2 linked regions of the Nothobranchius furzeri genome follow. The protein of the gene in region 1 interacts with the protein of each later gene in a pairwise test. Links are inferred from orthologs where the notes say so. Each region holds a gene or a part of one and is shown on either strand. Other genes may lie near its edges. The genes, in order: eml1 and isg20l2.

Evidence for each region.
Region 2: the proteins of eml1 (region 1) and isg20l2 interact in binary tests that used the Homo sapiens proteins (3 or more experiments, as listed by UniProt). The two-hybrid records come from large-scale screens. The link is inferred for Nothobranchius furzeri from reciprocal best matches to the Homo sapiens genes EML1 and ISG20L2.

The regions. Positions count from the first base shown.
Region 1 is NC_091758.1:30,955,862-30,959,568, forward strand, and holds the end of eml1 (echinoderm microtubule-associated protein-like 1), read left to right. Parts: intron 1-557; coding exon 558-683; intron 684-755; coding exon 756-887; intron 888-1,004; coding exon 1,005-1,072; intron 1,073-1,158; coding exon 1,159-1,247; intron 1,248-1,364; coding exon 1,365-1,462; intron 1,463-1,548; coding exon 1,549-1,636; intron 1,637-2,080; coding exon 2,081-2,176; intron 2,177-2,249; coding exon 2,250-2,380; intron 2,381-2,465; coding exon 2,466-2,591; 3' UTR 2,592-2,901; downstream 2,902-3,707. UniProt on the Homo sapiens protein: Modulates the assembly and organization of the microtubule cytoskeleton, and probably plays a role in regulating the orientation of the mitotic spindle and the orientation of the plane of cell division.
Region 2 is NC_091745.1:67,407,049-67,411,529, forward strand, and holds the start of isg20l2 (interferon-stimulated 20 kDa exonuclease-like 2), read right to left. Parts: upstream 3,079-4,481; 5' UTR 2,994-3,078; intron 1,878-2,993; 5' UTR 1,748-1,877; coding exon 1,076-1,747; intron 941-1,075; coding exon 740-940; intron 1-739. Other genes in the region: mettl25b (methyltransferase-like protein 25B), read left to right, coding at 3,490-3,621, 3,766-3,884, 4,035-4,251, 4,355-4,417. UniProt on the Homo sapiens protein: 3'-> 5'-exoribonuclease involved in ribosome biogenesis in the processing of the 12S pre-rRNA. Displays a strong specificity for a 3'-end containing a free hydroxyl group.

The sequences.
Region 1 (3,707 bases):
AAACTTTAATTGTTGCAGAGCAAATGGAGGCTGTGGAAGAGTTGCATTGCTCTTAGCCAATCAGAAGCAAGATGTGTGCACATCATGAAAACCAATGAGTAAGAATCCTAATCCTGCCCAACACTCTTCCGACTAACTTCTACCTCCTGAAACAGACTCACAGGACATTAATTCAGAGACCAGAACAGGTTTGTTAAAGAAACAAGCATTCGCCCTCATTATCTTTGTGTCCCATCAAAGACACAGCTTGACTTTCCTTATCTGGACTAAAGAAACATCATCGGGGGGTAATGACAATGTTTCTATTAAGAAATAAATCAGATTAGAAAGAAAGAAAATGTTATGTTATGTTTAATGAGCTGCAGACAGCAAACCAGTGATGCATTATTGAATAAATCTCACTGAGGCTGAGATAAATTTGGTTTATTTTAATGAGCTCCATGGATTTTTATGGCAACAATGCTTATGTTTTCTTAATAACTTGCTTCGTGGAAGCCAGATGATGCCGTCAAAGTCTCCCAGGTGAACAGCCGGATGTCTGATGTTTGCATCTGCAGGTGCCTGAGCTGTTTGGTCCAATCAGAACCATCGCAGAAGGCCGAGGGGAGACGGTGCTCATCGGGACCACCAAGAACTTTGTTTTACAAGGCAGTTTGGATGGAGAGTTCATGCCGATTACACAGGTGGATGCAACAGCCTAAAGGTCACAGCTTTGTTTTCCCTGTTTTCTTGTTTTTTAAAATTCTCCTCTCCAGGGTCACGTCGATGAGCTGTGGGGTCTGGCTGTGCATCCCTTGAAGTCTCAGTTTCTGACCTGTGGATACGACCGGCAGGTCTGTCTGTGGGACTCGAACACCCATCAGCTCATCTGGACTAAAAGTCTGGAAGTAAGTTGAGCCAACACCGCCCTCTGGGGTCTCTTATGGGGAATTACAGCTGATGGACCGGACTCTGGATGGGTTAGGGTGCAATTTGCCAAAGGAATATGCAAATCTGTTTTACAGGATACGGCCCAGTCAGCTGGTTTCCACCCATCAGGAGCTGTGGTTGCCGTGGGAACCCAAACTGGCCGGTACAAGAACCATTCAGCTGCTTAATCTGGACTGTTAGTATTTGTGTTAGCATGGAGCTGATAAAAGTCTGTCCCCAACTGTGCAGGTGGCTGGTCCTGGACACGGACTCTAAGGATTTAGTTACCGTCCACACAGATGGGAACGAACAGCTGTCCGTTATGAGCTACGGGCCAGGCATGTTGCACTTCTTCTGTTTGCCATCATCTAAAGCGTGTCTTCTGACACCTCTTATCTAAATCAGGAGTGGCAACGACTAAGCCATGCTGTCCTGTTGCTCCTCATCTTCTTTAGATGGTAGCTTCCTGGCTATTGGTTCCCATGACAACTACATCTATGTCTACGCTGTGGCAGAAAATGGGAGGAAGTACAGTCGAGTTGGAAAGTGTTCTGTGAGCCCCATCTTTTATTTTTATTATCATACCGTTTTAAAAAGGGATGTGAATAAATCCTCTAAACCTGTTGTTTTTATAATCAGGGGCACTCCAGTTTTATTACCCATGTGGACTGGTCCGTGGACTCTCAGTACCTGGTGTCCAACTCAGGGGACTATGAGATACTGTACTGTAAGTACAACCGCTAATCTGGGTCCGTTCACTGTGCTGATCACAGATTAAATCGTTAATAAGTAGCAGCAGGAACCAGGGTTGGTGGTGATTTTTCTTGTGAAACTGAAAGCTGAAAACCCAACATTATAAATATTATAATATTGACTGAAAATAAATATCTATAAAATAAAAACATATTACAAAAACAATAAAAATCAGCATAAATTTCATATTTTCTCCTGATTAAATCTGTTAGATTATCAAGTTAGGATTTAAAGTTGCATTAAAGTCTGGTTGACAGCTTCTGTCTCTAACAGCTCAGTTCTTGTTTGTATTTTTTATTTTAAATCTTAATCTATTATATTTTTAAATGTTTATTTTCATCATTGTTTTTATTTTGTAATTATTTCTATTGTGTTTGAAAGGCCCTAAATAAAAACGTCTTCTTCTTCTCACCTCCAGGGATCCCATCAGTGTGTAAGCAGGTAGTGAGCGTGGAGACCACCAGAGACATCGACTGGGCCACCTACACCTGCACTCTGGGCTTCCATGTCTTTGGTGAGTGACGCTTCAGTTCCTGTCCCTCTTTTGTGATCCTGTGCAAACTTCTGATGATTCTGTTTCTTCTCAGGCCTGTGGCCCGACGGCTCAGACGGAACCGACGTTAACGCAGCGTGCCGGTCCAGTGACAGGAACCTCCTGGCTACTGGAGACGACTTTGGGAAGGTCCATCTCTTCTCCTATCCCTGCGCACAGTTCAGGGTAAGAGGCCACTCATGCAAGAAGAAGAAAAAAGTTTAAATTGCAGGTTATTTATTTAAAGATCTGATTTACGTTTCCGCTCCAGGCTCCCAGCCATGTTTACAGTGGCCACAGCAGTCATGTGACCAACGTGAGCTTCCTGTTTGATGACAGCTTCCTGGTGTCGACCGGTGGGAAGGACATGAGCGTCATGCAGTGGAGGGTAGTCTGAGGGAGCGGACGCTGACACTGAAGCCCAGCAGAAGCAAAACTGTTCTGAACTGCACTAAAAAAAACCAAACTGATGTGAACTCTAACAGAAACGGATCGGAATAACTGAAGCGGTCTGAGGTTCTGCTCACAAACTAGATGAAAAGCAGGAAGTGTAAGAAGCAGCAGCTCGAAACACAACGATCCTCCTTTTGTTCATCTTACTTGTTCACACTACATGTATAGAAAAATCCTCTTCCTCTCATGTTTTATCCTCGTCATCAGCGACACAGAAGGAGTCCAACTCAACAGAACCAAAGGCAAGCCCTAACCCTCAGATCCTGGATCCAGACTGACGGAGAACCAAGAACGCTGCAACAAAAACTGAAGCACGGCACATTTTCTAACCTTTAAACTTCCTTTTAATTTTATAATGAACAACTCAGGAAAGCAGCGGTCAAGCAAAATCCCCTCCCTCTTATAAAACATGTCAGAAAAAAACACCCAAATATTCAGAAGCATCGATCACAGCTAGAATTAGACACGTTTAATAATCTATTATCACTTATTTGTTTAGGTGATCTTAACTAAAACTGCCTGTATTGTCCATAAATAGTTAAATTAATAAAGGTGTGTAATCCGGTTTTTTTTTTGTTCTTTTCTTACACAGTTTAGTAAAAGTTATTTGTTTACCTTACATGTTTGATGCCACCATCATCGACAATCTCTGATGATGGCTAGAGCTACTAGAAGAAACATGTAAGGTAAATAACTTTCACTAAACTGTGTAAGAAAAGAACAAAAATATGGAGTACGGCCAAAAACACGGGACGAACGCACAAAAGAGTATTAAAGGTGTGGTTTACCCATTCATTCAACACATTTGCAGTGTTCTCTAGTATAAACCAATCCCTTATAAGTAATTTAAAATAAAAAAGCTGTGATGCTCCTGTTCTGAGATGCAGAAGTTTGCTGGTGCTGAGGTGGGACAGGATGGCTCATTATTAATGATGTGAACGCTTCTGATTGGCTAACAGAACACGAACGTGTTCGAACGTGTTCTGTTAGCCATGTTGCAAAGTCACCATCACCCAGACACTCTCCGCTCTCTCTCCTGTGTGAGGATTTTCCAATCCTA
Region 2 (4,481 bases), on another chromosome or scaffold:
GCATCCCAGGATGTGTTGCGGTCGACGACGCAATGCTCACTGTCCCAATTCGGTAATTATTTGCACACTTGTACCACGCATTTGAAGCCTTACTGCGCACTTCCACCAAGTGCACTTCACAGAGGACCATAGGGCGTAGTGCAAGTATTGGGATTGGGCCTGAAAGTGAGGTTAACCAGGAAGTGACAAAAACTGCAGTTCCCCTCTCATCCACTAGGTGCTGGCTCCAAAATAAAGCTAATTCTTATTGCTTCTCATATTAAAAATATCAACTTCATGGCAGAAATAAACATGTTTACAGCCTGGTTCAAAAAAATAATTTAGGTTTGATAAGTCTAGTTTACAGCATCCAACAACTCGGTGAGTTGATGCATGCTTCACATTAGTCGCTCAACTGCATTTTTCTGGCTAAAAGCACCCGTAAACCTCCATTAGCTTGTAGCTGCGAGCAATGGCGGACTGAGATCCTCAAAATTCTGCTCTACACCTCTTTGCTCATTTTTGTATTGTCCAGGCGTGTTGAGATGAGTGACTTGGCCAGCATTGCAATGATCAGAACCGTAGGTAAAAATGTCTTAATAGCAGACTGAGTGAAAACTGTGCCTCGTTACCAAATTCTGCAGAATATTGTCTCTGAACCACAACTGATTGTCTCAGACCCTGAAGTCCGCCTGATGTCTTCCTGAGGTCTCCACCTGTGTTTTATTCTCTGATTAGCATAGCAACTAAATTTGCATACCTGGATGTCCCGATTGAAGATGGCTTTGGTGAGTCTCTTCAGCGATGCACATTCTCTTTCACCAAAACCTGCCTTCAGATTAAGGAGCGAGATTCGGGATGTGTCCCTCGTCATGGCAGAGGGGTGGGTATAACTGAGGGCCTTGAAGTCATTATGGATGGCGTGGCCAATAACGATCTTCCCCATGAGCAGCCTCAGAATCTGTGGAGATCAAATTTTGTTTCTTGTTCACTGGAGTCCAGCTCAAGTGGCAACAAAAAAAATTAATCAGATAGTTTTTATGTTGACATGTTGGGAAAAAAATAAACTTTTTCTGTTAATGATTTGTTTCCCCACCTCCTTCCTGGCTTCTGCATAAGGCATGGCCTTCTCGAGGTCTCTTGGTCGAATCCCGCTCCATCTGGTGCGATAATCAGTGACAGGCATGGAAGGTTTGATGAACTTATCATAGATCACGTCTCCATCGTACGACACAATGCTGCAGCGTGCGAGCTGGCTGATGCTGCCTTTGGGTCCCGTTCCCACCATCTCACAGTCAATGGCGAGGTATTTTGTGGGGTTCCCCACTGATGCTGTTGTGGCTTTGTGGCTGCCTGATGCTGAAGGCCCAGGGACCGCTGCAGCTCTGTTTGCATTCATAGAGTTCTTTGGCTTTACATAGCTACCATCGTTTTTCACAGTGAAGCTCATTGACGGGAGATTGTGAGAGGATGCTGAAGACTTCGAGGCACTTACAGTGGTGGCACAATTAGGTGGTAAACTATTAATTTGTGCGAGTGTGGGAAGTTGTGGATTATTTGGGCCTGCTCCATTCTGGTGGTGAGTTTGGTTGTATCCCCAGTCTTTCCTAAAGTGGTTGTGATTTTGTTTACCTTTCAGGTATCCCTTTGCCTGTAAGTACTGCTTTTTTTTATGGAATGGCTTCTTTTTCCTCTTCCCCTTTTCTGCTGGAGGACCTCTTTGTGAGGTGTCATTCGATGAGCTAATGTGGATCGTGAGATCTGACATGTTAACATCAAATCTAACGTTTTCCTTTTTACGACTGTGCACAAAGATATTCTTATTCAGACAGCCTCAACAGGTCCCTTCTCTTTGTATTCTGGTTGCTATCAGATGAAGCCAGGTCAAATGCAACACCCTGCAAAAACAAATAAATAAATGAATAAATAAAACAAAACCGGTTATTGAAAAACCATATTGTAGCCATTATATATTTTCACCACCATGGTTTTGCTCAGATTTTCCCGGTTTTTTTAAATTGATTTCAGTTTCTAATCACTCTGCCCTTTTGCACTCATTCTTCAGGTCAATGGTGTCAAATCCTGGCCATTAAGTGCCTCTTGTGCCACCTGTTCAGAGGCTTGTTAATCAGCCGCTAACTGAAAACGGGTGTGCTGAAGCAGAGAAACCATAAAATACGCATGACGGTGGCCCACTGCTTTTAACCTAAGGTAATTTTTAAGTATGTACCACAACATAAACGCTGTCTGCTCAAATTTAGCATATTTACTGAGCTCTAGATCAGACTATTAAAGCTGGTCTTTCACCCTGATTTTTTTTAGCACTGACACAGCTTCAAGTAACTTGTTTCTCCTTCAGTTTTGCTTTTGTTGCAAACTCCGTTAGGCATTTTATTTGACAACTTGAATCAGTAATGCCAGTTTTATCGATTTTTTAGCTCCTGAAACAATGACAGGTCATCGCAATCATGGACGGTTTCTACTGTTCAACCGGTAAAAATGTTGCAAAACGTGTCAAGTACACGTACAAATGACTTGTTTATCAATGAGGTACTTATTCTGAGAGTGTTATTCTTCTAAACCAAAACCCGTACGTTTGAGCACGCCTTGATTACTGAAATAGAGCGTATAGACGGGTGGGGAAGCAATTCCCGACGGGACAACGTATAACGGTGGAACACCGGCAGGAGACGTTATGTTTACCTTGCCGTTGTATATTTGGAGCTTTGGTTGCTGTTTTCCTAGTTAAGTATTATAAAGCGCTTATTATCGTAAGCATGACAATATTGTTACTGTGCAGTAGCTTAACTCTTGACCACTGTTAACTCAACGGAACTAATGTTTACCAAAGCTAATGTTAGCTAGCTAAGCCAAGACTGGCGATCGTTACAACTGCAAATGAAGGTAACCGAACGGAAAATAGGGCTCGGTCTGAATTAACACTCTCGTGAGTCACTAACAAATTATTTATGAGGAAAGCTACAGAAATAACAAAGAAAAACTCAAAACAAGACCTGCTGCACGTCTCGAACAGTTCACAATAACGAACCATATCCGGGATATGCTGCCTTCAGGGACTATCCATAGCGTCGGGACGCTAGATTTTACGTCAAATTATTGTTAAACGTGGGGCTAGATTTCCTCTTTGTTTTTACATTTTTAACCTTTATTTCGAAGCAAAATATTAAAATCATCAAAAAGTCCAAACGTATGTGCATTTTATTTATTTAGCTGTTGGTTGATCACTGATTATATGTAAAAATAAAATTGAAACAACAAATTACGAGGAACAAGTGAACGCATTCAGTCTGCAGTTGAAAGCGGTTGAAAGTTAGCCTCAGGGGTTCTTGTTAGCGTGCTGCTAGCCTTTCCTTCACGTTAAAACATTTTCTGCGGTATTTAACCAATTGGTAACACTGTAGTTGTATTTATATAGTTATAATTTTAACTGGAGCAGGAACGACGCCTTTATAAGCTAACGCATGGTAGCATTAGCTGTGAACAAGTCCCATGTCAAAAGAGCAGTTAGAAAATGTGGAAGTGTTTACATCGAGTTTTTCTTCGGAGCAACAAAAAGAGCTGGCGAACAGACTCATTACTTTTCTGTCTCAGTACAGCCACCTGAGCGACTCCTTTATCATTGTACGTATAAACTCCTGCATATCTTTATAATCTGAAATATCAGGATATAAAGATAAGATGACAAAACCATGCACAGTGCACACAAATGATCTACAAAGGAAATGGAGCTTTAGAATAAAGAACTGTTTCTTACTCGTTTTTCAGGAGTTCTTCTCTGAAAATTTGTGGGACACGCTACCCAAAACCTGGCAGGCTGTGCTGCAGGACCTTTCATTTCCACAAATAGCAGACTTATTACTGGATGCTGCTAATAATAATAGAAGGTAATGCGGGAATATAATCAGCTTCAAAATCACCTTCAAATTAACTTAATTTATAATTACATTGGAGCTTTAGGACAACATGTATTAACTGTCATTGATTATTAATACAATTGATGTATTGAGATGACTCCAGAGACTTTGTGATTGCAGGTATCCTTCGGTGTGGCCCCTGTCTCTTTTGGCTTTCCGTGCCACCGCTCATGCCCTGACGTTTCCCAGAGAACCCAGGTGTGATCGAGGCAGCGTAGCTGAGCCGAAGAAGCCTGATGAGTTCCTGGAAAACCACAGCCAGAGCTCCCTGCTGGGACACATATTCAGAAAACACGTTAAACCCAAGAAACAGCATGAGATCCGAAAACTTGGCATGGTACAGGAATCCTTGTTGGCTGTAGTTATTTCTCTATGAAGTGGTTATAAAATGTTTAGTTGTTGTTTTATTGAGTGTTTTGAGTTGTTGTTTTGTTCCACAGCTGGTTAAACAACTTTGTGAACAGACTGGCTGTAGGAGGGTGGTGGATGTGGGCTCTGGGCAGGTATTACTTTATCCTCTATTAGTAGCATTTTAATCATTCTGTATCTTATATTTCTACATTGTGT